Oryzias latipes: one gene and its partners. The protein of the gene in region 5 purifies or fractionates together with the protein of the main gene of each other region. This does not show direct contact. Links are inferred from orthologs where the notes say so. Each region holds a gene or a part of one and is shown on either strand. Other genes may lie near its edges. The genes, in order: dlgap5, nusap1, rcc1, nup50 and kpnb1.

Region 1 (5,299 bases), on a different chromosome or scaffold from region 5:
GCTTCTGCTTTCAGCTGATTATGTTTCCTCATTTGCATCTTAATGAACTCCTCTGTGTCGGACTGCATTACCACAGCTGGACCTGCAGTCCAACCCTTATCCAGCAGATCAGCCAAGAGGCCTCCTGTTCCAAAAACCTCGGCGGTGAAAGATAAGCCAAAGGAAAAGGTGGCAGGTATGTGAGCAGCAGACGCTGCTTTTTGAAGCAGTTAAAAAGCGGTCTGTGGTTTTTTTTTTCCAGCTCAAGGAGTAGTTTGTGTTAAAAGAAAATAAGGTTGCAAATGCATAATTTGTCTTTTCCCTCAGATGTGAGAACAACGAGAGCCAAAGCGGCTCTGAGCTCAGTGGCTCCCTCATCTGGCCACACAAAGAGCAGTAATGGTCAAATCACAGGAGCAGCCCACTTAGTGATTAACCCAATCCACCCCACCCAGGTGAGTACTGCTTTGTCAGAAAATGCCAAAGAAATTACTATTTTGGAATCTACAAAAGGTGTTCCTCTGTTGTTTAGGATGAAAAACTGAATGAGGAAAACATGGAGGAGGCAGAAAACATGGCATCTCCTCCCAGGCAAGCAGGATCTGCGGATGAAGACGACATGCAGGTGGACCGACCGCCCGAGGAATCTGTTCCTGCTGTGGAGGCTGCTCCTCCATCGTTTGCTCCCAGGGATTTTATCTTCCAGGCTCCGACTGGTTTGTCATCCTTCAAGTTTGAGCCCCTCACTCCTCGCTCAGCTGATGCCTTCCTCACTCCAAGGTTGGTTTATGTTCCTCTGGTTCATAGCTTACTGATAAAAACACACGTCTAAATTCTTCACTTTGATTTTTTTTTTTATTTACTTTCCAGCCCAACCTTAATCCTCCCACCGGTTTCGTCGTTCACTCTCCACCCTCAAGCTGAGTTAAGCAAACCGTCTCCCCCTAAAACGTCTCACCAATCTCCACGTGGTACCTCCGCCGCCGTCACTGCTCCGCCTCCCTGCAGCCCCCTGGAGTCGAAGCACGATGTACCATACTTCAGGTAGCGTTTCCTTCTTGTGGTGATCCATCGATCCCCCAACAGTTTGTCTGTTTTAAGCGTTTCCCTCTGTTTGTGAACAATATAGATCGGAAATTGCCAAAGAAACCGTGAGACTCACGACTTTTTGTCACCACTGGGAGCCTAAAGTGGAAGATGAATCCATACCAGAGGAAAGTAAGTGGACTAAACTGACATTTAGTAATAAAAATGTCCCTCTTTATCAGCAACTTTTAATCCGGTGCTTGTTTTTCCTTCTCACCTGACAGTGAGAGATCGCATGCGTACGGCTGTGGGTCAGGCGAGGCTGCTGATGAAAGAGCGTTTTAAGCAGTTCAGCGGCCTCGTAGACGACTGCGATTTGGGCCGAGGGGAGAAGGTCACCACCTGCACTGACCTGCAGGGATTCTGGGATATGGTTTATTACCAGGTTAACGCCTCACCAGACCCCGACACTGTTTCTGAGGGCAGAGAAATGACATTGATTATTTGTAAGTGCGCTTCTGGTGTCTGACAGGTTGAAGACGTCAACAAGAAGTTTGACGCTCTCAAAGAGGCGGAGGGCCGATCCTGGGTGGAGGAATGCAAACCTCCACCTCGACAGAGGAAAACGGTGAAGGTAAAGGCCTCAACGTTGCTTTAAAGACCCACTAGGATCATCGTTTGATGCATTTTAAACGGTATTTTGATCAGGATCATGCCGATTTCAGCCGAGCTAAAAGAAAACCTTAGTCCTTGTCTTTGACATAGTTTCTGCAGAGAGGCAGTAGATCATTAAAAATTAGTCTCCGAGTTGTGGGTGGGACTGTTGGCGCAGAGTAAGCCTACCCTCACTCCCTATCATCCCTTTTTTCCCGCTAGCTTACAGCCCCTCACAACACCAACCTAACATTATTAGCGGGGCAACAAAACGGGCGAGAAATTCCTGAGCCAACCAGCCGTACAGATTAGATCCAGATTCCAGTGAGGTTCGTGGATCTGTTTGTCTGCAGGTGGATGCATCAGAATGGAGTGAAGCAGGGGGCTCAACGATTTTAATAAAGACCTGAGCCTAATTGTCTTTAAATGTGTCCTCCAAGAACATGTTAAAAAATACCTTAAAGACAATTTTCATTGGAGCCGGTCTTTAAGATTTTGACTCAAGTGTTGAACAAACCACTAAACCTACAGCTTCCTTTGACAGAAGCCGTCTGCTGCACCGGCAAAGGCTACAGGAACCAACGCCGCCGCAAAGTCTCGCCTGGCTGCAGTGAAAGCAGCCATGAAAGCCAAACAACAGGCAGCCGAGGCAGAGAAGGCGTCCCAGGACTCCACCAGCGGCGACCTCCCCTCCCAAAAACCGGGCCCTCAAGCTGAGGCCTTGAAGTTGGACGCGGTGGTCTTTGATGGGGGGTTCTTTAAAGTGGAGAGCCCAGCCAAATCATCAAGTGAGGGGGGAAAACCAACTGTTCTCTGCTTCATTTGTTCCTTTTATAAATGTGTTTGTGTGTGTTTTCAGTCAGGAGATCCAGCCGTCTGAGTGCTGCTGTGCTGCCTCTGGCCTCCCCCTGCTCCTCGTATCGCACACCTAGAAGGGCCGCACAGCGGCCCCTTGCTTTGGAGCGCACCCCCATTGGTTCTCGTGCTTCCCCTGTTCAGCTTTCCCGCCCCACCCTTGAGCAAGCTCCAACGCCAAAGTGTCAGCCAGACATCCAGGGAATAGACGGCCCCGCAAACGCCTCTCTCTGCTTCTCACCTGTGAAGGAACTGCCCTCCAGTGAGGAGACATCTGACGGAAGCCCCGCCCAGAAGGCAGGGGGTGCCTCCCCCCCAACCGTTTCTGTAGAAAGGAACTCTGCAGAACCAACTGAAGGGACTCCCCTCTCTGCCGCACACTGCATCCCTTCAAGCAAATCCCCCTCTCCCGCCCCCCATGTTCCTGAGCCGCCATCCGGCCTGAGTTTTGTGCTGTCGCCGTGTGCACCTCTGACCTCTGCTGCTGCTGAAGCCCCACAGGCTGTGTACCAAACGCCAAACAGCTCAGTCGTTGAGGTAAAACTCCAGCTTCAGCTCAGAGTCATTTCATGGCGACGGGACGACTTTCCGTTCATTTAAAAACTTAACTCGTGTTTTTCTTAGGAAGTTCCTGGTTTGGACTTCGACCGTTACTTCCAGCCTTCGCAGAGATGCAGTCTGTCTCCGAGAGAGCCGGTTGCAGAAGAGACTTTGTCTCCCATGGCAACAGATGTAGAGATGGAGGGCCCCAGAGGGCAAGCAGAGGAACTTCCAGGTATGAGTGATGCCCACAGGTACTGAGCTGCCCTGGGTTTCATATCTTAGCACTCATCAGCATCAAACATGGCAGGATGACTGACTCTCTTTTATGAATGAAATCTAATGTCTTAAATCTCCTAACAAACTGTTTCGCCAACATGTTTGTTCCCTCTCGTGGTGTCACAGCACTGTCAGCGGTGTCTTCGGTGTTTTCTCCTCGGTCACCACAGGTTAAAGTCTTTCCACTTTTCCCTTTTTTTTTCATTTATTTGTGTCTTCTACAATATTTTTATTTTTTGTTCCTAAAACAGCCAATGTTGTTTTGTTTTTTTTAGGTGCAGAGTGCAAAGGCTGCCCTGCTGCTCTTCACTCCGGATCTGAAGGACAGAATACGCCAGTCAGTCTGTCCAACTGACCTCATGTCCTTCACCCCTCCTAACTTCTAAACGTTTTTTATCCGTCTTATGATCACTTTTTACAAAACATGTTAAATAAAGTTTTGTTTAAAAAAACAAACCGTCCAGACTGTTAAATTTCCCACTTTACCACCCGAAGAGAAAGATCAGAGGGAGAGCACATCCGAAGAGCTCCTACGGTGGATCTTTTATGTCCACTATTTGATTGTCAAACACCTGCACAGGAGGAGGAGCAAAGGGTTGAGCACCTTGAAGACGCTCACCGTGAAGTTTTTTTTAAATTTATTTTTTGAGATTTTTTTTTTTTTTTTTTTAGGGCTGCACGGTGGCGCAGTGCTTAGCGCTCTTTCTTCACAGCAAGAAGGCCCCCGGTTCAAGTCCCGACTGGGGGACCTGAACCAGAACATCAATGGGGGACCTTCCTGTGTGGAGTTTGCATGTTCTCCCCGTGTATGCGTGGGTTTTCTCCGGGGTCTCCGGCTTCCTCCCACCGTCCAAAAACATGCTTCATAGGTTAATTGGTTAATCTAAATTTTCCCTAGGTGTGAGAGTGAATGGGTGTGTGATTGTGGACATTCTACCCTGTGACAGACTGGCAAACTGTCCAGGGCATCGCCTGCCTTTGCCCACAAGTGGCCAGGATAGGCTCCGTGACCCCAAAAGGGAAAAACAGAATAGAAAATGAAAAAAAAAATTTAATAACCCTGAAGATGGTACGAGCAGCAAGCTTTCATTTTTAATTTGCAGGCAGATTTACGTGAAGCAGTTTGTCTTGCACGGTGTGGAGTGGTTAGCCTATTGCCTCACAGCATGAGGCCCTGGTTCAAGTCCCGACTGGTGGACGTGAAACAGAACACCAACGGCAGACCTTTCTCTGTGGAGTTTACATGTTCTCCCCGTGGTCTGTGGGTTTTCTCCGGCTTCCTCACATGGTCCAAAGACATGCCTCGTAGGTTAATTGGTTACTCTCTAAATTGTGCCTAGGTGTGGGTGTGATTTGTGGCCCTGCTGCCACCCACAGGATAGAATCCTGCAGTCCCGTGACCCCAAAAGGGACTAAATGGGTTTAGAAAATGAATGAGTTCATCTAGTCACCTACCTGGAAAACAGAGGAAAGGTTTGGTTTCTCTACTGGTGAAAATATCTTGAGCTTTATTTCAGGATCTATTCACTGTAAGTTGATACATTTTAAGAATTGTTTTTATTTTTCATCAGGCCTGTTGGAGTCCTGTTGTTACTCCTCGTGTCTCTCAGTCTTCTTTTTCTCGTTGGCGAGCTTATTTTTGGTTTTACTGGTAACTGACAGGTAATGGTTAAACGCCGGAAAGAAAAAGTGGTTAAAAAAGCGATGAAGCGTCTCAAATTTGTGTTGACTGGTCTGCAGGATGAGCCCGTCCTCTTCTGTGGCTTCTAGAAAGAAAACGTGTTAGAAATGCAAAAGCTCTTTCATAAGCGAGCTGAAAGCCACAAACTTGAAGACGTTCGATTGGAAGAGTTTGTACAAAATGACTCAAACCTGTTTGCTGGAGCGTCTCATCTTCTGAGTTAATCAGCTGACTCCTCACAAACTGAGTGGAATCTTCCATCTTAAACGACAGGCGATTTGTTAT
Region 2 (6,123 bases), on a different chromosome or scaffold from region 5:
GTTTTGGCAGGACTGTTGGTGTGGAACAACCCCGCCCCTCTTCCCTTTCTCCATTGCATAGGAGCTTAGGACCCGCCTAGAATATTTTCTACGTCTTTTACAGCCATTTAGCATCTGCTCCTGATTCTCAATTATTTGAATAAATGCTCATACATGCAGTTTCCCCCCTATTTTAATGTTCTTTATCTCCATTGTGAGAAAAATGCTACAAGAACATTTTAAAAACACAATTTTGGTCGGAGTGGGTCTTTAACCCTTGTGTTATCCTATGCACTTTAACGTTGGGAGTGCTAGACAGTGCTCTGGACCTTTTTTCTTCAATGATTTGTGATCTTCACTGGTGTCCATGGATTACATGAAGTCTTTCCACCTTTATCCACCTTTGTCATGGTAGGGAGAACACGTCGATGGAAGGGGGGGGGGGGTCATCTAAGATAGCACAAGGGTTAAAGAAAGAAAATCCTGTTTGACTCAAAGGAAAACTCAAACAGAGAAATGAAGAAGTCCTTTTAACTTAAGCCCGACTGGAACTGCCTGCTAAAGTACGGCAAACCAGAAGAGAATCCAGGTGAGAAGAACAGAAAAAAAATGAATATTTTTAGGGAGGATTTGGGGAAAAACATCAAATCTTCAAAAAAAAAACATTCAGTCTGAATAACTTCACACATCTGATGGATGAACTCAAACTGGAAATCATTAACTTTATTGAAAAAAAAGAACATTAAGATCACCTGGACCGAGGTCAGGTATGAACCGGGTAATTATCAAACACAAAGACAAACAACTTTAGGATTTAAGGCAACCTTTAGTGTAATCTGGGGTTCAGAGCCGATTCTCTGCCAACCCTAATCTACCTTTAAACCAAAAACTGACCCACAAACTTTAAAGGCATCTCCAGCTCCACAGACGACTACCTCCTCTTCTTGTTCCTGATAATACTCATGTCAGCCAATCTGCTCTTCAGGATCGACATCTTCTCCAAGTGAGCTTCAAAATGTTGCTTCACCTGTGAACAAAAGGCAGCAGGTGAGCTCTGAAGGAGAAAGTTCTGACGACATGATCCCAGGAGTCAACCGTCCAACAGCAATCTCTGTTTGGATGTTGCTCTGGCGCCCCCTGCAGGACAGATCTGTGTCTACAGCTCCCATTTACTGAGAAAGAACACACACGTGATCCTCCCCGAAGCTCTCACCTCTGCCAGTCTTTCACTCACAGGCTGCAGATCAAATGAGAGTCCAGAGGCCTTCACCATGGAGCTGCTGTTCAGGATGTAACTGCAGAAGAAAATAGTTTTTTTCTGAGTGCTTCTCATCTCAGTGTTCTCATCTCTACCATTGAAAAGGGAGAAAGTCTCAGCTCTGATTTACTCCTTTATTCATGAAAGAGCGGATCAGGGAAAATTCACCAACTGATGCTGGATTTGTCCAGGAGGAAGAGGGAGCGAACTGGAGCCAGGCTCGGTGGGCTCGAGTGGAGAATCTTCCCCACGTCGAGGTGGCAGTGACTGCATTTAAGAGGACTGGAGATGCTGAGGAACAAACCAGTGGAGATCAGGGAGGGTTTCAACATTCAGAGGAGACAGATTATGTCCTGTATTTATCATCTTTATCAGGTTCTACCTTAAAATCTACTCACCAGTTTGTCATTTCTCCTTTATCTTTGGACATTACAGCATCTCCAACCACAACATCGTCTGTAACTTCTGAGGAAAGAAAAGCAGAAATAAAATTTGTATTTCTTTTATAAATGTATTCATAGTAAAGAACAATTTAGTAAAAAAAAAAAAAAAAAAAACAACGGGGGGGGGGGGGTTACAAAAGTAAATAACAACAACATCCCCTTAATTCTGTAAAGCTGAGACCTATTTTAACAGGTTATTATAGCTTTTTTGTTGGTAAATGGGAGAAAACATCGTCTATGGCTGATTAGAGCAACAAGACATTTGAACATTTGTTACTAAATTACATTTTGTTAATATAATATTTGGTAATAAACTCAGGGGATTCATCAGAAAATGCTGATTTTTTATTTTCTTAATTTAATATTTTTTATTTTTATGAAGGACAGTTGGTCAAAAATATTTAGTGTAGTTAAAACAAAATTACTTTTGTTATCGCGTGCTTTAATTGCCTAAAAGCGTCTTCGGTGGCAAAAACTTGCTTTAATTTAAAAAATAAATTCTACTTTTACTGTTGTCAAACCCGACGGATCAATAAAGCTTTGAATTTAACTTTATTGATACCACAGTGGAGACATTTACCTGTCATGGAAGATCTCCCCCCAAAACAGTAACAACTTACAAATCACAGATCACCAAATAGCCAGGCAAACAAGTAAGTAAATAAATAAATAAATTGGTAATTTAACTATATTTTCCCTTTAACACACAGTTCTAACAAATTACTCGCTTGCTAGTTAATATTCTGCCGTGAACGTCTGTGTGACCAAAACAAAGGAGACAAACCTACTTAAGAGAATGACCGAGTCCAGACTCTGCAGTTCACCACAAACATCCAGGGAATCCGCCAGGACGGTGTAGCAGTGCTGGCAGTGGAAGGTCATCAGATGTCTGTCGTCTGCCGCTGTCCCAGGCTTCGCTTCGTCGCTGCGTTTATTTAAAATGCTTTTCTCAAACTCCATTTTTAGCGGGTTTCCCAGACGCGCGTGCCACGCCGAGCAGTTACGAACTTTTATCTATAAACGTTTTTTTTCCCTGTAAGAATTTTTGATTCAAATTCAATTTTCAAAATCTAAAATAAAACAGATTTTTGTGAAGCTTTTCTGTCTTTATATTATTAAAATATTTTTTTTAAACGGAAAGGCATCGACACGCTTTGCTCTGATTGGTTGTGACCATTTCCGGTCAAACTGAGAGCCAATCATAGCCCTCCTCTTGTCCCGTTTCAAATCTGGTTTTAACCGTCAGCCGCGGACGCCTCGCGCAGAATTCAATCTGACTGTGGATAAAAACGGGATTCTTTTTCTGGATTTACTCCTTGTCAGGATGGATTTGGACTCCATGAAATATGCCGATCTGCGAAGTCTCGCTAAACAGCTCGGACTGAAAGCAAACATGAAGGCAAGATCAACATTTAGCTTCATAACTTTATCCTGAACGAAAAATTATTACGGGATATGGCAACTACTAACGAAGGGCGCTGTTACTGTAGTTTGTCTAATACGTGACTTGTGTTAACATAATTTGTCTCAATACAGGCAAACAAACTCCTGAAGGCTGTAAAACAGCACTACAAGCAGCAGGAGGCGGCGGGGGGGAAGGTAACCGGCACTCGTAAACACATCGCTGCTTTAGCCTGAACTGCAGTTTTGTATGAAGGCTTGTTTGTGTCGTGGACAGGATGATCGCGTCAGTCATGCCGATCAGGATGCAGTCAAAGAAACCTCCAGCCCACGCGTGTTTGTCAACGCGCGTCGGGGGAGAGGACGCAGGGACTCGGGGAAGACCACCAGCGGGGCTGCGGTGACCCCAAAGGCTGCACGGGTACACGCAAATACGACGTCACGTGACTTTTGGAGTTATTTAAAAAAAAACTTTATATGCAAACTTATGACAAAACAGGCAATAAGATTGTCTTCATTAACAATGACTTTGTAAGTAGTACACATAACTGAGGGAAAACATTTTACAAAATCATGCCATCAATAAACAATAACTCATTTATACTCACACATTTGTAAACAGACATCCCAGAATAAATCAAAATTGCTGAGGATGTCCAGTAGATTTGCACCTTTGTTATGCATACATTTTAAAGCATTAAGATAATTTGCTTGCAAATGTTTTTTTTGAATAAAATGAAATTAGGCCATACTTTTTTCCATTTTGAGGTATGAATAAGAGAACTAAGATTAACAGACGATTGTTGATCCCAAAGATCATTTTGTCCAAAGTGAGCTGGATTTTTAGCTGGAATCTATGAGGTTTTTGGAGGTTTGGTCCTCTAAAACCTCTAATGGGTTTTCTTTTCTTACCAGGCTGATGCTGAACCTGAAGCCTCATCCTCCAAGACCAGGAGAGCTTCAAAGAGACGAGCGTCCTCTGAGCAGAACTCACCTGAGCCTCAGGAGGAGCTGCAGCCTGACGCCTGCGTGGAAGCACCTGCACGCGTGGAGACAGGTGTGCACTAGTGGGGTTTATGCTCTCCGCTTCTTAACTGGGGTACCTTTTATTCATGAAAACCACTGTGTCCAGAACCAGAGCCAAAACCCAAAGTGAGCAAAGCTGGAAAGATCCCTCGCTATCGTGGATCTCAGCAGAAGGCTGCGCTCAAACCGCTCACTCCAAGTAAGTTTTTCTTTCTTTATTTCACGGCCGTGCTGATGACGCACAGATAAACACGCTCATCTCCTGATGGTGAGGAGTCAGAAAGCAGATTTTTAAACTGAATTTTAGACAGGAAGTCATGAATGCAGAGAAGCTCTATGGCTCAACAGGACGACCCCGAGCTTTTAGTTGACGTTCTGAAGACAAGAAATCGATCATTTCTCCAAATAGTGAGATATCAGGGTGTTTATTCTGACTCTGGGCTGATTTATATTCCATATTTTAAAAAAAGAATCTAGAGTAGAATTTCATCAACATAAAACGTTGCATGACTTTGCCAGCATGGAGGAGGTGCTGATGTTCTTACTTCCACCTAAACAGATTATTGTAACGTCCTGCTCCCTGAAAGAACATCTCAAACCGCAGATTTCTATTTCTCTCCTCGTTTGTTTCATTATGTTGGGTGCACAGTTTTGTCTGTTTTCTAATTTTGTTCATTTATTTTTCTTTGTGAAGGTCTTTGGTTTTTGAAAACAGTTTCCATCATGTGAGTCTGATTCGTTCCCCTTCATCATTTAAATGTCTTTCATCCAGATTTCAAAAAGCTCCACGAGGCTCATTTTAAGAAGATGGAGTCCATCGACACCTACGTTGAGCGTAAGAAGAGGAAGGTGGACACCCTCAAGAATCCTGTCAAAGAGCTGAAGGTATTGGAAACAGCCATGCTTTTATTCTGAAAGCTGGAAATGCACTTGGGTCTGACACATGCCCCCCCCCCCCAGGAGGATGCTGGTCTGTTCCCGGTGACCTCTACAGGGGGTCGGGGTCAGCCTGGAGGGTTCCTGTTCAGGACATGTTTTGCTCCATTAGGGAGGCATCCCAGTGCAAATCTTCTAACCACTCAGTCAGATCCTCTGTGAGGTTTAGTATGGGGGTGGAAGAAAAAATCGATTCGACAAAATATCACGATAGTTCATTTGGTGATACTTGTACCGATTCAAAATGCTGCCAGGACAATATTTCTCTCAAATCAAACAGATCCTTTGGTTTCTGTGTTTCATCCTATGCTGGAGGTGGAAGCCAGAAGAAGTCCAGACATCAGATGAAACTTTGGCTTCTTTCCTTTCATATCAAACCACCACAACCTGATTGTTCGGTGGTGAACATCAGCTGAACTCCAGAGCTTTCTGAGACCACCAGACTTCAGCCACAGTTCTGCTTTTTTGCTTGTTTCCAGCAGAGCAAAAATGCAGCCGGCTCCAGCATGTTCAGCCCTCCGTCAGGGAAAAAGCCGGCTGAGGAAAAGAGCAGACACACTTTGCTTTCAGCCAGCAAAGCTCCGTCCAGCAGACCTGCAGGAAGCGCTGCTCCCTTCAGACCGTCTGTGCTCTCCACTCGCAGGATCAACGTTCGGTGAGTCCTCCCTCAAGTCAGTCCGGTTCTTCCTTCAGATCTTCTGGACAATGTCTCTGGCGTCCCGTCTGCAGGTTTTCAGAAGCTACTCGCGACAACGAGTTTAAAGGGTCTCTGCTGAAGACGCCGGCACGGATGTCGCTCTGCCTGGTTTCCTCCACTCCGCAGGCGGCGGCGGGGGCGGGGCCTCACACCGGGAGACCTTCCACGTTCTCCGCTCAGAAAACTCCAAGTACGTTTACGTCTTCCTCACGGCCGTGTTCTCGTGCAGAACGCTGGGTATTCATGTCGTCTTTGCCCTCCTTCAAAGGGACTTTTGTTTTTAACGGAAACACCTCACTCACACCCGGAACGCAGAAGAAGGCGACCTTTGACCTCAAAGCCAGTCTGGCGCGGCCGCTCACGTACAAGCCTCACGCAGGTAA
Region 3 (5,658 bases), on a different chromosome or scaffold from region 5:
GATCTGTTTACATCTGGGGCTCCTTCAGGGTTTGTAAACTCCTTCAGTCAATTTCTGGCACTCTGATATGGTTTTTCCTAAAATGTCCAAATACGTGGAATTCATTTTCACCATAATTAGCTGAGGTCTATTATCACTTGTTGACTTGATCTCTTTTTAAATTGGTTAAAGTTTATTTTATTTTATTTAATCTAATCCATACATTTCTCAGACTCTTAATGGGTTTTATTGTATGGCACATGTGTCAAACTCAAGGCCCGCGGGCCAAATGTGGCCCGCCATGTCATTTTGTGGCCCGCGAGAGCAGTTTTTAATTTCTTAAAATAGTTTTTAATTTCTTAAAATTAGGAGGAATCTGACTTGAAGTATTGGATTGGGCAACAATACATTAGTACGGAGCCCGTGTCCTGACATTAAAAAATTAAAATGTCTCGTTCCCACAAATTAATATCTTGGTCGCACGAAATAATATTCCGTTCCCACAAGATAATATTCCGTTCCCTCGAAATAATTAATTCGTGCGAACGCAATTATTATTCACGTCATAAGTCATTCATAAACACAGATATACTCTCCGTCCGGTCGCAAAAGGCACTTTCAGCGGTAAGTTCTGTGTCTCTGTGACCCACATTCGTTCAAGCAAGGAAAAAGAAAAACAAGAATGATCAATTTATAATCGTCTCAATGAATATAAGAAAAATATAAGATTTATGATACCTAGGCTTGCTGCTTTGCCATACGATTCACCGGACCTAGCTCCGTCGCAGAGCTCTTTTGCTTGTCATGCCGGCATTCGGGCAGCTGGCTGGCCGGTAGACAGACATCCAGCTGATATTGTAGTTTAGGGTCGAATATATAGGAATAATAATATTCAGGACTTGTCTTTTATTAACATACTCTTTAGCAGTTGCTTTACATTCGAAGGTTAGTAGGCAACACGCTAACTAACTAGCCGATCATTTATCCTGTTATTTACGTCATAGATTTTCAGCAGAAACCTTCACATTTCTGTCTGTGTGTGTCTTATTACATTGCATTTAAGACACGGAGGATGTTTATAGATCAAATTTATTAAAAGCCGCTTTCTGCCGCTACTTCCGTGTCTCTGTGAGCATTCAATAGGGGTAAAAATAAAAGCAAGGATGAGCAATCTATTATTGTCTCGATGAAAATCAGAAAAATATCCTAAGATTACGCTGGCTGTCAGAGTCATTTCGTTCGCACGAATTAATCATTTCGAGGGAACGAAATATTATCTTGTCGGAACGGAATATTATTTTGTGCGAGCAAGATATTGATCTGTGGGAACGAGACATATTTTAATTTTTTAATGTCAGGACACGGGCTCCGTACATTAGAACTTAAACACTGTCCATAAAACCTAACCTGAGAGGATCAGATTTAAAAGGATTTATGCTAGATTAAAAAGCAAACATGTTTTCTATGCAACTGTAATTGTCACTTTAAAAAGTTATAATAAAGAAATGAGTAATTTAACATTAAGGAGGAGTTGCGTTTATTTTTCATTACATTTAGTTACATGTATAAGTTATGTCTGGCCCTTTGAGGACAACCACTATGCTGATGTGGCCCTCAGTGAAAATGAGTTTGACACCCCTGTTGTATGGTATTGGCTTCTTTCTGCAGTTATTAATTTTTGTGAATTTTCAGCTGTGCTGTTTTTTTAATAGGATAATAATGGTGTAATTGGTCTTCTGGAGCCCATGAAAACATGCCCAGTCCCAGTGAAGATCCCCATCCCAGAACCTGCTGTAAAAATTGCCTCAGGTGAGTAAAACCTCCCGGGAATTTGCTTGAAGTTTTATTTAAAGATTCTAGGCTGATTATGGCCCACAGCGGTCAAGGACTCCAAGGACCATATTGTTTTTGCAACGACTGACAAAAACTATATGGTTTAAAAAACTCAAAGGAAAGGAATAAGCCCCAAAAGACATGACCAGTGTGTAGTAAAACACAAAATACAAAGACACAGTCGGTCCTAACCGCAAAAACTTGTAGATTGTTTCTGCAATACTTATGATTCCGCTTTCTATCTGCGCCTTTGAGCGAAAAATTTGACCCCACCACATACACAAAAAAACTCACCAAAATCTGCACACATTCAAAAAAAAAAAAACTTAGTTTCAGATACAAACGAAAACGCGTCCTAGGGATTTTTATCTATAGTCTCGTAACTTCTCGGCCATCAATGGCAAGCCACTGTGGAAAAATGTCAGAATTGGAGGTTGTAGATTTTGGATGGTTGTACGTGGCAAGTTGCAACTGTTGCGATCTTAGCTAGCTCGCACATTTCTTATTGGGGTGTCGTAAAAATTCAATATGCATTTCCCTGGCCCAAGCTGAATAAAACGATGCAACATTCTAGATGACAATGTTAAAATAGTGGGTGTGGTAAACAAAAAATGTCGCAAAAAATTGTGCTGAATCAGCTAAATAAATTTTCTTTCTAAATGGAAATCTACTTACGAAACCAATATACCTTTGTCTGGGATATCCAATGAAAGAAGTTATGAAATAGTTATGAAATACTTATGGAATGGCGACACACCTATGGTTTGTTGGCCATTTTGTGCCAAAATTGGAGATTTGGCGTAGTGGAGTTTTGTCAACATTTGACCTCGGGAAGAGGCCGCCACCTTTAATTAAAAGCAGTTATGGAAAAGATGTTGCAATTAGAAGTTGTACATTTTTAACGGTGTGCGAGTGGTGAGCTAGCTAAAGTGGCATTCTCTTATTACTCGCACATGTTTAAATGGAAAACTGTGAACATTTAATGCATGTATCCATGACTAGAACTGAACAAATTAATATAACATTGGATACAAACATATAAGTAATGTGGGTGTGGTACCAAAACAAAATGATTGCTATAAAGATAAAACTAACAGAAAAGCCGCCGTTTTGAAGAAAGTGGATTTTCTATCAACTTACCACATGTGGCTCTTACCAGTATTAGCATCTGAAGTAAGGCGTTTTTCTGAGTCAGTTGATGATGCTGATAGTATTGCTAGCACTTTTATCCACATGCAGCTCAGACAGCCTATCAGAAAGACAAGTGAGAGTTAGATGTGCGTCGTGACTGCTAAGCAAGCAAGTTCGTTTCAAAGATGGGTGGTGAGAGCGGCGGTGGTGCCTATACCCCTGCGGCGTTGATACATAGAGGCTGATGGCAAGGGCTGGTAGTGCCTGTGGGCTGTACAACACCACTTGCGCCTTGAATTTTTTTTTGTAAAGTGCAAGTAGAGCTGTCCAAAGTGCTCACTTTGTGTCAGTGCATTTGAGCACAAGTCCCTTTACACCAAAACAAATGGAACATTCAAATAAATATAAGCAGAAGTGACTGCTATGAAAACATTAAGTGTACATCATCTTGTTATAAACTAGTTCAAACTGTCTTTGTCAGATGTTTGTCTCCTTGTTGTCTTCACGGATGCTCTGACAGGAAACGACCACTTGGTGTTAGTGACACGGGATGGGAATCTTTACACATCAGGCTGTGCAGAGCAGGGGCAGCTGGGAAGAGTGCCTGAGCATTTTTCAAACAGAGGTGGTAGAAAAGGTCTTGGTAGGTGAAGTTGTTACAACAGCAAAACACTAAACAATATTGTGGTTAAATCTTACCCATGTCATTTTTTTACTCTACCTTGCTGTGGTTTTTAGAGCGACTCCTGGTGCCGCAGATGGTGAAGCTGAAGGGGAAAGTTCACTTTATAGATGCTTTCTGTGGAGCTTACTTTACCTTTGCTGTGTCACAAGAAGGACACGTTTATGGATTTGGCCTCTCAAACTATCACCAACTGGGTAAGTTTGACTCATAAGAGTTTATCCTTAACTCCTTAACTCACTGTGTGGGAATCAACACTTCCCATGAGTCTTAGTGGCCATGGGCGGGGCTAAGCCCCAGGTCCCCACAACATATCGCCCAGCCCTAGCTCCAGCATTCTGCGCACCCACGTGAATAACAAGGAGGGGGGTCAGGCGCTGAGCACAAGCCAATGTGTGTTCTCAGCTCCTGCGCCCAGCGGGAGTAATAAGGAGGGGGGTCAGGCGCGGCGCGCAAGTGAGTCTGTGAGCGCGCATTCAGTTTGTGTTACACAGTTAGGGAGAACAGTAAAAAGGTTTCCTCAAAAAGAACAGAGACTGGTTCTTTTATTAACCCACTCTGGAGGCACTGAGGGCCTGAACGTGCCCGGGCCTTAACACCTGGTGCACCCGGCGTTCGTGAAAATACGGTAGTGATGGCGTGAACTGGAATATGCTTGTTAATTCTTGTCAAACTTATAAAAGCAACAGGGAACATTTGGTTGAACTCCAAGGTTTCATTTGATTATTTCTGAATTATTTGCCCAGGCACCAAAAGCACCAAGATGTGTTTTGTTCCTGTAAAACTGACGTGCTTCAAGAACTCCACCACTACCTGGGTGGACTTTTCTGGAGGACAACATCATACGCTGTGTCTTGACTCTGAAGGTAAACAACACATGAATCCAAATGTATTTGATATTCTACAGAATTTAGCATTTTATCTTCTGAAAAGCTTTTGATGAAGTAGATATTTTTAAAGAGCCTATATCATGCAAAATAAACTTTATTTTTTAGCTTTTAGGGGTATTATAATGTTAACTCTTAACAAAATATAACCCAAGCGGTACATCCATTCATGCATTTCTGAGTATTCCTGGAAAACCCTGGAAAAGTTTTGGAAATTGAAAATGCTAGGTCTTTGAAAAGTTTGTGAAAAACAAAATATTCTGCAAAGTTTTAGTAAAGTCATGAAATTTTAATATTTGGATGCAAAAAACATACAAAATTAAATAGTTTTACACGAGATTCGAATTTGGAAGAAAGTGGAAGTAGTTTAACTTCATGCTGTCGGGATGGGAAATTTTCGTCAACTCGGCGCATGACCCTTTCAGCTTGCTATCGTGAAATGCTACGAAATATGCCAGTGTAGGTAGCTCTGCAGCAGCAGAGCTACGTCCGGATGCTCTTTGTGGATTACAGTTCTGCTTTCAACACAATAATCCCGGACAGACTCTGTGACAAACTGCTCACTCTTGGCCTCCCACCCCTCACATGCAATTGGATTAACAACTTCCCCATCACCCGCACACTGAGCATCGGCGCCCCACAGGGCTGTGTGCTAAGCCCCCTGCTGTACTGCCTCTACACTTACAACTGCAGGCCATCCCACAACAACAACTGCATCATCAAGTTTGCCGACGACACCACAGTGGTCGGACTCATTCCCAGGGGGGATGAGTCTGCCTACAGAGAGGAGGTCCTGAAGTTGACAACCTGGTCCACAGTGAACAACCTCACCCTGAACACCAGCAAAACCAGGGAGATCATTGTCGAGTTCAAGAAACATGGCGCAGACCCAACCCCCTTCCTTATTAATGGGGAGCACGTGGAGAGGGTCCACACCTTCAAGTTCCTCGGTATCATCATCTCTGCCGACCTCTCCTGGACAGCCAACACCACTGCCATCATCAAAAAGGCTCAGCAGTGTCTGAGGGTCCTCAGGAAGACCAACATCAGCACCAACCTGCTGCTGACCTTCTACCAGTCATCCATCCAGAGCCTGCTTACTTACTGCATAACTGTTTGGTTCAGCAGCTGCACGGCCGCGGATAA
Region 4 (6,095 bases), on a different chromosome or scaffold from region 5:
CTTCACCTCCGGTTTGGGAGGCTCCTCCGACTCTGCTTCTCCGGTTTCATCTGCGGACAGAAACCGTGAAGGAAAGCGGGAACAGAAGCAGAGGCCATTTGTCTCTTCGTGGATGGGCGGGGCTTCTGCTCACCTGTGGGCGGGGTTTCCTCTGTCTTTGTTCCGCCAAAAGGCAGAGGGGCTGAAGAGGAGGCGGCTCCAAACAGGGGCGTCTGGCTGGAGGAGGCGCTGGATGAAGAAGGGGTGAAAGAGAAGGCGGGGCCGAGGGGTTTGGACCCCAACGAGTTCAGGACCGAGCCGTCCACCTTCTGCCCGAAGTTGAAGGTGATGCCGGCGGGGGCGGGGTCAAAGCTGGCGCCTGTGAGACGGCGGTCTGCTGAGGAGTCCCTGCTGAAGGAGAACAGAGCAGCTGAGGGAGGCGCTGTGGCACCGCCAGACGATGGAGGAGGGGGGGGCTCCGTGGGGGCTGGCGTCTCCTCAGAGTTGTCCCGCCCCCCGCCGAACTTCCGCTCGATGCTGGCCAGGTGGCGCTCGTAGTCCCTGAAGATGGGGTTGAGGTCGCACAGGGGGTTGTCGTCCACATGTTTGCTGATCCAGTCGCGCACCGAGCGGTTGAGCGCCGCCAGCTGCCGGCTGTACTCCCTACTTCTGCTGCAGGTCGGGGCCGCGCCGGGGGCGGAGCCATTGGCCTGACTGGGGCTGCTGTCGGCAGGCAGCTTTGAAGAGGAGGAGCCTCCATTAAACGTCACACCTGAGAGGAAGACAAGAGGATTCATGACACAGTGGGAGGGGCTAATCCTCAGACGATGCTTGTAATCCCGCCTCTTACTCGCCGCAGCAGAGGATGCTGGGAGGGCGGAGAAACCCCTGAACGCAGGAGCACTCCCATTGGTCGCGCCGCTGAAACCTTTAAATCCTTCTGCGTTACCAAAGCCAGGGGCGGTGGGCTTGGTGGAGGCTGACGCAGAGAACGCAAAGCCCCTGAAGCCTTTGAAAGCTCCTCCCACATCAGCCTGGAGGTAGAAAAAAACAGAGTCAGATCCAGTTCAGAAGGACCGGCTCGTCAGGAGGCCCGGTTCTGACCTCTGAGCCCACATTTCTGCGTTTGGCCTTCTTGATGGGCCGACTCTTCAACACGTCCTCGCTGGCCAGGCAGAAGGTCCCGGCCTGCAGAAGAGCAGCGGCGGCGTTACAGACCAGAACATCCATCACCCTCCTCACCCCCCTCCTCCCCCACTCACCTCCTCCCCCTCCTCCTCCTGATCCCAGTTCCTGTCAGTCAGTTCTTTGTCCGCGATCCTTTTGGCCATCGCAGCAGCGTCAGAACACAAACGCCCGGGAGTCTGTGAAGGCAGCGCGGATGTTTGATCAGAATGCAGACCCTCGCACAATACCTGAATGTGGGCGGGGCTTCAGAGAAACTGACCCTGGGCTGACTATACTGCATCTTTGGTTTGGTTTGCATAACATTACAGATCTTTGGCACAGCGAGTAGCAGGCCAGGTACCAGGCCAGGAACCAGGCCAGGGACAGGTACCAGACCAGGTACCAGACAAGGAACCAGGCTAAGCAGGTATCAGGCCAGGAACAAGACCAGGGACCAGGTACCAGGCCAGGAACCAGGCCAGGGACAGGTACCAGACCAGGTACCAGACAAGGAACCAGGCTAAGCAGGTATCAGGCCAGGAACAAGACCAGGAACCAGGTACCAGACAAGGAACCAGGCTAAGCAGGTATCAGGCCAGGAACAAGACCAGGAACCAGGTACCAGACAAGGAACCAGGCTAAGCAGGTATCAGGCCAGGAACAAGACCAGGAACCAGGCCAGGGACCAGACCAGGTAACAGACAAGGAACCAGGCTAAGCAGGTTTCAGGCCAGGAACAAGACCAGGAACCAGGCCAGGGACCAGGTACCAGACAAGGAACCAGGCTAAGCAGGTATCAGGCCAGGAACAAGACCAGGAACCAGGCCAGGGACAGGTACCAGACCAAGTACCAGACAAGGAACCAGGCTAAGCAGGTATCAGGCCAGGAACAAGACCAGGGACCAGACCAGGTAACAGACAAGGAACCAGGCTAAGCAGATTTCAGGCCAGGAACCAGGCCAGGGACCAGGTACCAGACAAGGAACCACGCTAACCAGGTATCAGGCCAGGAACAAGACCAGGGACCAAGGAACCAGGCTAAGCAGGCATCAGGCCAGGAACCAGGTACCAGACAAGGAACCAGGCTAAGCAGGTATCAGACCAGGGACCAAGTTAAGCAGCTACCAGGCCAGGAACCAGGCCAGGGACCAGGTACTAGACCAGGTACCAGACAAGGAACCAGGCTAAGCAGGTATCAGACCAGGGACCAAGTTAAGCAGCCACCAGGCCAGGAAAAAGACCAGGAACCAGGCCAGGTACCAGACCAGGGACCAGGCCAGTGACCAGGTACCAGACAAGGGACCAGGTACCAGGCTAAGCAGGTATCAGGCCAGGAACAAGACCAGGAACCAGGCCAGGGACAGGTACCAGACCAAGTACCAGACAAGGAACCAGGCTAAGCAGGTATCAGGCCAGGAACAAGACCAGGGACCAGGTACCAGACCAGGTACCAGACCAAGTACCAGACAAGGAACCAGGCTAAGCAGGTATCAGGCCAGGAACAAGACCAGGAACCAGGCCAGGGACCAGGTACCAGACAAGGAACTAGGCTAAGCAGGTATCAGGCCAGGAACAAGACCAGGGACCAGGTACCAGACCAGGTACCAGACAAGGAACCAGGCTAAGCAGGTATCAGGCCAGGAACCAGGTACCAGACCAGGTACCAGGCCAGTGACCAGGTACCAGACCAGGGACCAGGCCAGGAACCAGACAAGGCCAGGAACAAGACCAGGGACCAGGTACCAGACCAGGTACCAGACAAGGAACCAGGTTAAGCAGATACCAGGCCAGGAAGAACCAAGTCAGGTACCACCACGCGGGCGGTCATATCAACAACCCAGTTTCGGACCAGAACATGAAAACGGATCTTCAGATAATCAGTCTACTCATGAGATCCGGTTTTCATTTTCCGACCGGATCATCCACCAGGTGGTTCTGCAACGGTCCAGATTCTGGAGCGACTTCCTGCTGAGCTTCGGGTTCGGTCCGAATCCTCACAGTCTGGCGGGTTTTGTGGTGTCACTATGGTAACAAAATCCGGGCGGTTCTTCTGTTCGGTTCCTCCGGTTGGATTGCCTCACTTCGCTTTGCCGCTGGCCGCTCCCGTTACTTTAACCGGTTACAGTTATAGAGGCAGGATATTTGGTTTACTCACCGTGCTGGTTACCTTTGGCCGAAGTCTCCAAACCGGACCGGAACCCGTTCCGTCGCTTAACCGTTTCCCGCTGAGAAGCTAACCGGGCCGCGCGACAGCTCCTGACGTCACGGCTAGCGCTCAGTGGCGGTCTTTGGTCTCGGTCACCCGAGACCCGAACTCTGTCTGTGAGCGACTTTCCGCCCGGTCTCGGTTCTACAGACCGACCAGAACCGCAGATTCTCGATCGCCTTCAAATCTTGACTCACTCAGTGATTTTGAAAAAGCTTCCTCACGCGGCCATTTTGCACAACGGTACATCCGCGTGGGTGCACGCGCCCCACCTCTCTGCTCATGCGCAGAGTAAAGAGCCTATAGCTGGGATTTGTAGTCGGGTAGAGTATTTATTTATCTCGTTTTTATCCTCCTGAGAACCGAGGAAAAAAAGTGTCTTCCAATTTTTGTTTTTGTGTGATTTCCTTTCTATTTGGGCTTAAAAAAACACCTTACAATTTTAATTTTTAAAAAAATATTTTTTATTTTAATTTCCCAACACGTCCACTGTAGAGGACAACAGGACAACATTTCTGTGAAAATAGAACTCGGGTAGGAAAATCAGAAAAAAGGAGCAGATTAAATCTTTAGAGTGATACTCACCCAAAAAACATTAAATTTTGTTCTAAAACAATAAAACTCTATATCACTTTATTGTTACTTGTTGGACCTTCTGCTACAGAGGAAGATCGACCGGTAAATTGAGAGCTTTGCTTTCTGGCTCAGCTCTCTCCTCACCACAACGGACGCTGCTCCGATCCACCTGTCAATCTCACGCTCCGGTCTTCCCCCGCTCATGGACAAGACCCCAAGATATTTAAACTTCTCCACCTGGGGCAGGGACACTCTACCCACCGAGAGACGGCAAACTACCTTTCTTCGGTTAAGAACCATGGCCTCAGATTTAGCGTTGCTGACCCTCATCCCAGCCGCTTCACACTCGGCCGCAATCCCCCCCCAATGCATGCTGGAGGTCCCGGTTCGATGAAGCCAACAGGACAACATCATCTGCAAAAAGCAGAGAGGAAATCCTGTGGTCTCCAAACCAGACCCCCTCCAGCCCCTGGCTGTGCCCTAGAAATTCTGTCCATAAAAACTATGAACAGAACCGGTGATAAAGAGCAGACCTGCCAGAGTCCAACATGCACCGGGAACAGGTTTGACTCACTGCCGGCTATGCGAACCAAGCTCTTGCTCCGGTCATGCAGAGACCGGACACCCCTCAGTAAGGCTCCCCGGACCCCATAATCCCAGACCACCCTCCACAGGATATGGGGGACGCGGTCGAACAGCTTCTCCAAATCCACATAACACATATGGACTGGATGAGTGAACTCCCGCAATCCCTCCAGCACCCTAGGTTAGGGTGTAGAGCTGCTCCACTGTTCCACGACCAGGACGGAAACCGAACTGTTGTTCCTGGATCTGAGGTTCGACTATGGGACGGACTCTCCTCCCCAGTACCCTGGCATAGACTTTCCCAGGGAGGCTGAGGAGTGTGATTCCCCGGTAGTTGGAACAAAACTAGATCAAAAACAGATCTTCAAAAATGTTATCAATGTACTGTGAAAAGTACAGGATTGAACTCCGGTATTCACAAACTTTGGGGTCATCTTGATAGGCAGGGCGCCCTGCTAGCACAGGTGTAAACCTGTTATGATGGACGTTTAAAAAAAACAAAAAAAAAAATCAAGTTAATTATAAAAACAAGTTATTTTTTCCTGAATCTCATCCTTTTCATCATCTGAAAGCTCCAAATCTGAATCTTCTCCGACTATCTGGCGCAGAATCCTCTCTGCTTCCCTTTTTTCTCCAAACATTATGTGCATTGTGCAGCCATTAAATACATTGAAATGGTCCCGGTGTCCTCTACAGTGTAGAGTAGGATTTGGAAAGGTATCTCTTAATTCCTTAAAAATATACAGGTAAACAAAATGTCCATTATAGAGGACATAAATGACTGGGCCGGGTCTCAGGAGGATATGGAGCATTTTGTGTCCATTCCCTATATAGTTCCTTATTGGAATAATCTAGTTTACCACTTAGAGCGGGAAAAGATCTGTTAACCAATGAAGTGAGAGAAATGTCCTTTAAATGAATCCATACATTCTACCCATCTATTGATGTAGATAAGAACGCCCTGAAGATGCTGTTTATGGCCTTTTTCCACTAAACTCTGGTCTAAAGTTTGTAATTTCATTTCCACATAGACCCAGACTTCCTCCTGTGCTTAGAAAATGTTTGGCCTCATCCAGTCCTTCCCATAAAAAAGAACAATTATACTTCATTAATCTTATTTTTAATGCAAATGGCACATTCATGAATCCAAATGTATGTATAATACCATCATTTCTGTCTTTGTCAATGAGTTCAAACAACTCAGAAACACAATAAGATAGGAAACGGTTCAAACACTCGATCTGTGCGTCACTTTCAATGTCTTTGTGTGACCTGGAATCCTTAAACCGGCGGCCTCTTCTCCTGTTATTGTATTGCACTGTTTTGTATTGGATTGTTGTGATCAATAAAGTTCCTGTTAAAAAAACCAGTATCATATTTGTAAGTGAAGACCAGACCGTAAGTACTATGGAGTCCTATACTGTTCATAATTAAATAAATAAATATTTAATTCAATAAATAAATATTTAATTAAATAAATAAATATGGCCTCATGCAAATAAACAACCAATAAATCTCTCATAAATATATAAAAAGATCATGAAATGGTGAAAAACATGCACACACATTTTAAATTAGCCAT
Region 5 (6,267 bases):
GCCAGGCTTTTGACTAATTCATCTACGTTTTCACGCGTCTCTCTGTTGTTAATGCAGCTGCACTGGCTCCCCATCCGCTACCGACTGCATTTAAAATCCTGGTTTTAACATCCACAGCTCTTAATAACCAAACACCGGTCTACAGAAAGACCTTTTGCAGCCGTCCACTCCCAGCAGGTCCCTGAGGTCATGTGACCAGGGTCTGCTGGTGGTTACAGACTAAAGGTGACAGTCTTTGGAGCAGTGGCTCCATCCTCTGGAACTCCCTTCCTCTCAGCCTCAGATCTGCAGACTCAGTGTTTTCTGTAAGAAGCAGCTAAAAACCTCTTTTTAAAATAGCATTTTCTTTCATTTTTTAAATTGACTGTGTTTTATTGTGACGCACTTTGTGATTTTTATCTTAATAGGTGCTATACAAATATTATTATTAGGCAACGATGAAGATGCTGTTGCCGAAGATGAAGACGGCGTCAGTCAGAAACCATGACCTCGGCAGGCGTTTGGGCGCCGTGGAGGACCAACGGGAGCCTGAAACGTGGTTTCATCTCCTCTGGATTATTATGGTCTGCCGAAGCTGACTAGAGCGGCTCCGTCTGCTGCAGGTCTTTGAACCAGCAGCAGATCCAACATCCCTGCAGGTTCTTCACTGGATCCCAGTTGGAATCCAGTTCTATGCGTTTAGGTTCTACATCAAATCTCTTCTTAGGTTCCACAAACCGTCTGGGGCTCTTAGACCTCCGGGTTTAGCTGCTGTCACTCAAACGTTCAGTAACTCTGGAATGTTGTCCCAGGTTCTGCTGCCTCTGCTGAGGACCGATCAAAGCTGCAGAGGGTCTGAGTGATGCTGTCACTGCCTGGCTGGAAGATCCTCCTGACAGGATCCTGAAGTGGATCGGTTGAGATCTTTCTGGAGGGAACTGAGGAGAATCAAAAAACACTAAGCTCTGAAAATAGAGGAAAAGGTTTCAGACAGCTGTGTGATGAAGAGCAACCATCACCAGACGAATCGCATTTCCTGCAAAAACGCCACGGGGAAGCTCTTCCTGTTTGCTGCCGTCCTCCAGCTGCCTGAGATGACGCGGCTGCAGCAACAAGGCGAATCCCACGCCGCTGCTCCTTCAGGACTGGGGGGTCAGCAGCACCTTCTCGTGGAGTGGAGATGGTGCTTCAGCGCCATCCAGAATATTCTTCCCTGAGTTTGAAGATGAAGCAGTCAAAGACCCGTGAAAATGATGTTTGTGGTGTTTTTCTGATGCTGGACTTTGGATCGGCCTTCCTGACCCTTTCTTTATTCAGATCCTTGTGAATCAGGAGCGGATGACAAAACGTCCTTTGATCAAGCTTTGAGCGGTGACATAGAAGCCTCCAGGCTCCGCCCCCTTCTGCAGACCAACAGATCCATGAAGGTCTCAGTTTTCCTGGTCTGAGCCGGAATCTGGATCTGAACTGGACGGATGGATGGATCTGATGTTGCTGCACCGCTAATGCTAGCTTGGGGGTGTGAGGGGCTGTACGCTAGAGGGGGAGAGTATAAACAAAAGGATGATGGGAAATGAGGGCAGGCTTACTCTGCACCAATAGTCCCACCCACAACCCAGAGGTGAATTTCTGATGAACTCCTGGCACTCTGCAGAAACTAAGTCCAAGAAAACGACCCAGATGTTTGGATTTTGGCTAAAAACAGTAACATCATCGTGAAAAGACTTTAGATCAGAAGAGGATTGGAGCGGGACTTTGACATTTCACAGTGACGGTCATGTTTGTCAACCAAACCTCTAGAAGAATGTGTTCAGAGGATTCTTTGTGTTTCATTGTCCTGCAGAAGGTTTGGCTGTAGACTTCATGTTTCTGACCTCTGACCTCTTCCTGTACTCAGCAGAAGATCTTTACCAACAGTAAAATGTTCAATAAAAGCACAAATCCATCGTGCAGTAACGACGCAGCTGTTGTGCTGCAGTGTCAGAAAAACAGCCTTTCTCCGCTACTTCATCCAGAAATCGCCTCCTGAAAGCTCCCACGCCCCCTGAAGGCAGCACGTCGTGTCTTTACGTCAGTGCGTGATATCCTTCCGCGTGGGTGAAACGCGCGGTCCTTTCCCTCCCGACGATTCAGGATGCGGATGGGCGGCTGCGGAGCTTCGACGCGCTGCTGTTTGCCTCGATCGTAAACATTTCCCCGCATCATCCGAGTCAGAAGCACCGAGCGAACACCGGAGAGCTCCCGCCTTTTCCGCAGCGAACCGAGTTCGCCCCGACGGCACCGACTGAGCACCGTGGAAGAAATATAATCCGCTGCGGCGGTGCGCGGCTACAGAACGTGTGAGAGACGAGAGCGGCGGCGGCGGCATGGAGCTCATTACCATCCTGGAAAAAACGGTCTCTCCGGGTAAGCGCCCACTCGCCCGTCCGCTGTTTGGGCTCCGGTTGGCGGTCCGGGTCTGCAGGAAGGACACCGGGCAGATGCTAGCTGGCAGGGCTAACGGTGCTAAGGCTCCGGCCTGAGTCGGGACTCGTCATTCGTGCGTTGCCGGTGCAGTTGGAACCCCGCCACCAGCAGGTAAAGTCCGGTAAATTTGTGGCCCTCAGCGGCGGGGAAGTTTCCGGTTTGCGGTGGCGAGCAGGAGCGCAGGCTGAAGCCGCAGGACCGGTTACCGGAGCGACCCTGCCCATCCATGCCATGCCGGCGCGGCGGCTGCTTTAGCCGTTAGCTTAATGCTAGCAGCCGCTTCCTTCTCGAGCCTCAGCGTCCTCGCGGGAGCGTTCAGCGGGCGCGTTAGGCTGCCAGCACTTGGCTGTTGAAGGCCGGTTCGGCTGGGTTCGGCGGCTGTCTGGAGAACCAAACGGACTCCTAACGAGCGCCTTTAGCAATGCTAGCATGCTAATCTAGCGCGCTTTACCCGTGGTTCAGACGCAGTCCGTGAACGCATCGTGCTCTGTTTTCAGGTCCGCGGCCCACGTGGGCCACTGATTAGGTGATGGCGGAAATGTCCGGGCCGACCCGGCCCGGGCGTCGGTGCGGCTGCAGGCCGGCCGGCGTTGGCTGACCTCTGCCCTCTCTCCGCAGATCGGAATGAGCTGGAGGCGGCGCAGAAGTTTCTGGAGCAGGCGGCGGTGGAGAACCTGGTAAGTTCGGTCTGCGGGGCGGTGCGGGGCGGCCGGGCGAACGGAGCATCCGTGATCAGCTGGCGCACGCGCACTCACTCAGTGAGCTCTGACGTCTCCCCCAAAGACCTGTGTTTCCCCTAAAGTCCAGTAATCCAGAGGAGGTCCGGAACCCCCTTCTTGATGGTCAGACTAGGATCAATCCCACAATGCTTTGCAGTCACGGGAGTGAAGCCATAAGCACTTCTGCTCTCCGTCCTCCGGTCATGCTAACAGATGTGGGTTTACCTGCTAGCATGACGCGGCATCATGTGACCTTTTTGGAACCAGGAAGTCCCGCCTGTGCCGTTACTGTGATGCTCAGACTGTATGTAATGATGCTGCAAAGCATGATGGGAGAGATTTTGGCTGCAGGCAGAGTCTGGACTAGAACCCTGAAGTGGCTTCGGTCTCAGGACCTCCTTTGGGTTTGGGGGCGGGCCTTCAGGTTTTCGTTCCACGGCGGTCCGAGCCTGAAGGCCCCCCGCTGATGTTCTCGTTCTCTCTCTCTCTCTCTCTCCCCCCCCCAGCCCACCTTCCTGGTGGAGCTCTCCAAGGTGTTGGCAAACCCGGGGAACACGCAGGTGGCCCGGGTGGCCGCGGGCCTGCAGGTGAAGAACTCCCTGACCTCCAAAGATCCTGACGTGAAGACGCAGTACCAGCAGAGATGGCTCGCCATCGACGCCAATGCTCGCCGCGAGATCAAGAACTACGTAAGTGCTGCTGAAGGCGGCTGTCTGAGCGGGGGGCGGAGCTTACCGGGTCCGTGTTTCTCCTGCAGGTCCTCCAAACTCTGGGCACAGAGACGTACCGGCCCAGCTCCGCCTCGCAGTGCGTCGCCGGCATCGCCTGCGCTGAGATCCCGGTCAACCAGTGGCCCGAGCTGATCCCTCAGCTGGTGGCCAACGTGACGGACCCGTCCAGCACCGAGCACATGAAGGAGTCCACGCTGGAGGCCATCGGCTACATCTGCCAGGACATTGTGAGTGACGCGTCCCGTCACGTGGGACCTGCCGGGCCCTCTCCAGGTTCTGGAGGGTTCTGGGCCCCTCCCACTGCTGCATGGCCTCATCGATATCAGACGGCGGTTTGTCCTCCATCCTCTGGTTTCTCTACGTTCCCGGTTCCTCAAAGCAGCAGACGCTTCGGTCGTTGCCGTCTGCGTCCCGGTTCGGGTTCGGACCGATCACGTCAGGAACCTTTGGTTCTTGTGGGATCAGAACCCGTCCTTCAGAGTCTCAGCAGGCGGCCCGATCCGTACGTTTGTCAGAACCTCCAGGATCTCGCTGCAGTTTTTTCTTTAGGGTAGATATTTTTCAGGAAGGAAGAAGAAACTTGAATTTAAGCTCCGCCTCCATGAGACGTCAATAAACAGAGCAGAATGTTTCAGCGTGAAAAGTGACATTTAGCCACAAAGTGGAAGTTTGTTTTCAGTTTTTATTCAAATGTGTCTGTTGGTCATTTGAACTTTGACCTCTGAGGTCTGAAATTCAGCTTCAAGCAGAGATTAATGGATGTCTCAGGTATTGATCACGTGGACTAAACGCTCAGATCAATAAAGAGGATCAATCAAACTGCTGAGGTTCTTCAGCTTCGTAGGGTTAAGCCGGTAGAACCAAGTCGGAGAATCGCTGCGTCCAGAACCGGCGCCGCTGCGTCCAGAACCGGCGCCGCTGCGGCCGATTTAAAATGGTGAATCGAGTTTTTCTGGTTTGAAACCTCAGGAAAGGTTCCAACTCACTGGACTTTCTGGGGTTCTTGGGATGTTCTGGCTCACCTTCTGTGTTCCTCCATTTGACTGGAAGCGGGTCAGAACCCGGCAGGTTCTAACGGCTTCCCGTGTGCTCAGGACCCGGAGCAGCTGCAGGAGAACGGAAACCAGATCCTGACCGCCATCATCCAGGGCATGAGGAAGGAGGAGCCCAGCAACAACGTGAAGCTGGCCGCCACCAACGCGCTTCTCAACTCGCTGGAGTTCACCAAGGCCAACTTTGACAAGGAGGTAGGCGGGGCTGGAGGCGGGGCTGGGGGCGGAGTTAGCAGATCGCTGAGCCCTGCCCTCTGTTTCAGACGGAGAGACACTTCATCATGCAGGTGGTGTGCGAGGCCACGCAGTGTCCCGACACCAGAGTGAGTATGCACACGTGCACGCTCCTGAGCGCGCCCCAGCTCCAGGCTGACGCCTCTGTGCTGCGTTCAGGTGCGCGTGGCGGCGCTGCAGAACCTGGTGAAGATCATGTCGCTGTACTACCAGTACATGGAGACGTACATGGGCCCGGCGCTGTTTGCGGTGAGGATGGAGGGGCGTGTCCGGCGGCTCGCCGTCAGCCGGCCCCTCCTCATGCGTCGTCTCCTCCGCAGATCACCATCGAGGCGATGAAGAGCGACATCGATGAGGTGGCTCTGCAGGGCATCGAGTTCTGGTCCAATGTCTGCGACGAGGAGATGGACCTGGCCATCGAAGCCTCGGAGGTGCGTCCGCGGCCCCCCCGCCCGTCCGGCGGCGCTGCGATCCGCCGACTCATGCCGTCTCTTCTCATCCAATCACAGGCCTCTGAGCAGGGCCGCCCCCCCGAGCACACCAGCAAGTTCTATGCCAAAGGAGCGCTGCAGTACCTGGTCCCCATCCTGACCCAAACCCTGACCAAGCAGGTGAGCCGGCCGCCCCGCCCGCAGCCGCCCGGGCGTGCACGTGCAGCTCTGAGTCTGTGTGTGTGCAGGACGAGAACGACGACGACGACGACTGGAACCCCTGCAAAGCGGCGGGCGTGTGCCTGATGCTGCTCGCCACGTGCTGCGAGGACGACGTGGTTCCTCACGTTCTGCCCTTCATCAAGGAGCACATCAAACACCCCGACTGGCGGTACCGCGACGCCTCCGTCATGGCCTTCGGCTCCATCCTGGAGGGACCCGACCTGAACCAGCTGAAGCCCCTGGTCATCCAGGTACGTGGGGGCGGGGGCGGGGCAGCGCCTTCACGCCCTCTGACTGTGTGCTCCGCCTCAGGCCATGCCCACGCTGATCGAGCTGATGAAGGACCCCAGCGTGGTGGTGAGGGACACCACGGCCTGGACGGTGGGGAGGATCTGCGAGCTGCTGCCTGAGGCCGCCATCAACGAAGTTTACC

What was found.
Region 1: the proteins of kpnb1 (region 5) and dlgap5 purify together in Homo sapiens (affinity purification with mass spectrometry; 4 studies listed by BioGRID and IntAct, with this or other methods). This does not show direct contact. The link is inferred for Oryzias latipes from reciprocal best matches to the Homo sapiens genes KPNB1 and DLGAP5.
Region 2: the proteins of kpnb1 (region 5) and nusap1 purify together in Homo sapiens (affinity purification with mass spectrometry; 3 studies listed by BioGRID and IntAct, counting the BioPlex papers as one, with this or other methods). This does not show direct contact. The link is inferred for Oryzias latipes from reciprocal best matches to the Homo sapiens genes KPNB1 and NUSAP1.
Region 3: the proteins of kpnb1 (region 5) and rcc1 purify together in Homo sapiens (affinity purification with mass spectrometry; 3 studies listed by BioGRID and IntAct, counting the BioPlex papers as one, with this or other methods). This does not show direct contact. The link is inferred for Oryzias latipes from reciprocal best matches to the Homo sapiens genes KPNB1 and RCC1.
Region 4: the proteins of kpnb1 (region 5) and nup50 purify together in Homo sapiens (affinity purification with mass spectrometry; 4 studies listed by BioGRID and IntAct, counting the BioPlex papers as one, with this or other methods). This does not show direct contact. The link is inferred for Oryzias latipes from reciprocal best matches to the Homo sapiens genes KPNB1 and NUP50.

Annotation. Positions count from the first base shown.
Region 1 is NC_019877.2:3,670,439-3,675,737, forward strand, and holds the end of dlgap5 (disks large-associated protein 5), read left to right. Parts: intron 1-76; coding exon 77-175; intron 176-306; coding exon 307-434; intron 435-511; coding exon 512-759; intron 760-849; coding exon 850-1,023; intron 1,024-1,108; coding exon 1,109-1,197; intron 1,198-1,289; coding exon 1,290-1,450; intron 1,451-1,537; coding exon 1,538-1,639; intron 1,640-2,203; coding exon 2,204-2,447; intron 2,448-2,518; coding exon 2,519-3,051; intron 3,052-3,138; coding exon 3,139-3,289; intron 3,290-3,459; coding exon 3,460-3,503; intron 3,504-3,608; coding exon 3,609-3,719; 3' UTR 3,720-3,784; downstream 3,785-5,299. Other genes in the region: radial spoke head 10 homolog B, read right to left, coding at 4,924-5,099, 5,206-5,275. UniProt on the Homo sapiens protein: Potential cell cycle regulator that may play a role in carcinogenesis of cancer cells. Mitotic phosphoprotein regulated by the ubiquitin-proteasome pathway.
Region 2 is NC_019880.2:1,751,174-1,757,296, forward strand, and holds the start of nusap1 (nucleolar and spindle-associated protein 1), read left to right. Parts: upstream 1-2,242; 5' UTR 2,243-2,333; intron 2,334-2,468; coding exon of another isoform or gene 2,469-2,640; exon of another isoform or gene 2,641-2,860; intron 2,861-2,911; exon of another isoform or gene 2,912-3,003; 5' UTR 3,004-3,004; coding exon 3,005-3,079; intron 3,080-3,216; coding exon 3,217-3,279; intron 3,280-3,358; coding exon 3,359-3,502; intron 3,503-3,996; coding exon 3,997-4,138; intron 4,139-4,213; coding exon 4,214-4,306; intron 4,307-4,879; coding exon 4,880-4,992; intron 4,993-5,522; coding exon 5,523-5,698; intron 5,699-5,772; coding exon 5,773-5,930; intron 5,931-6,008; coding exon 6,009-6,119; intron 6,120-6,123. Other genes in the region: oip5 (protein Mis18-beta), read right to left, coding at 911-1,006, 1,193-1,274, 1,406-1,528, 1,636-1,702, 2,469-2,640. UniProt on the Homo sapiens protein: Microtubule-associated protein with the capacity to bundle and stabilize microtubules. May associate with chromosomes and promote the organization of mitotic spindle microtubules around them.
Region 3 is NC_019874.2:65,890-71,547, reverse strand, and holds part of rcc1 (regulator of chromosome condensation), read left to right. Parts: coding exon 1-29; intron 30-1,691; coding exon 1,692-1,788; intron 1,789-3,463; coding exon 3,464-3,586; intron 3,587-3,681; coding exon 3,682-3,822; intron 3,823-4,371; coding exon 4,372-4,491; intron 4,492-5,658. UniProt on the Homo sapiens protein: Guanine-nucleotide releasing factor that promotes the exchange of Ran-bound GDP by GTP, and thereby plays an important role in RAN-mediated functions in nuclear import and mitosis.
Region 4 is NC_019881.2:23,772,004-23,778,098, forward strand, and holds the start of nup50 (nuclear pore complex protein Nup50), read right to left. Parts: upstream 3,720-6,095; 5' UTR 3,314-3,719; exon of another isoform or gene 1,824-3,313; intron 1,765-1,823; exon of another isoform or gene 1,344-1,764; 5' UTR 1,311-1,343; coding exon 1,242-1,310; intron 1,168-1,241; coding exon 1,084-1,167; intron 1,014-1,083; coding exon 830-1,013; intron 752-829; coding exon 134-751; intron 51-133; coding exon 1-50. UniProt on the Homo sapiens protein: Component of the nuclear pore complex that has a direct role in nuclear protein import. Actively displaces NLSs from importin-alpha, and facilitates disassembly of the importin-alpha:beta-cargo complex and importin recycling.
Region 5 is NC_019866.2:172,790-179,056, reverse strand, and holds the start of kpnb1 (importin subunit beta-1), read left to right. Parts: upstream 1-2,057; 5' UTR 2,058-2,345; coding exon 2,346-2,385; intron 2,386-3,063; coding exon 3,064-3,122; intron 3,123-3,670; coding exon 3,671-3,853; intron 3,854-3,921; coding exon 3,922-4,122; intron 4,123-4,989; coding exon 4,990-5,142; intron 5,143-5,210; coding exon 5,211-5,270; intron 5,271-5,340; coding exon 5,341-5,430; intron 5,431-5,501; coding exon 5,502-5,612; intron 5,613-5,690; coding exon 5,691-5,792; intron 5,793-5,860; coding exon 5,861-6,085; intron 6,086-6,146; coding exon 6,147-6,267.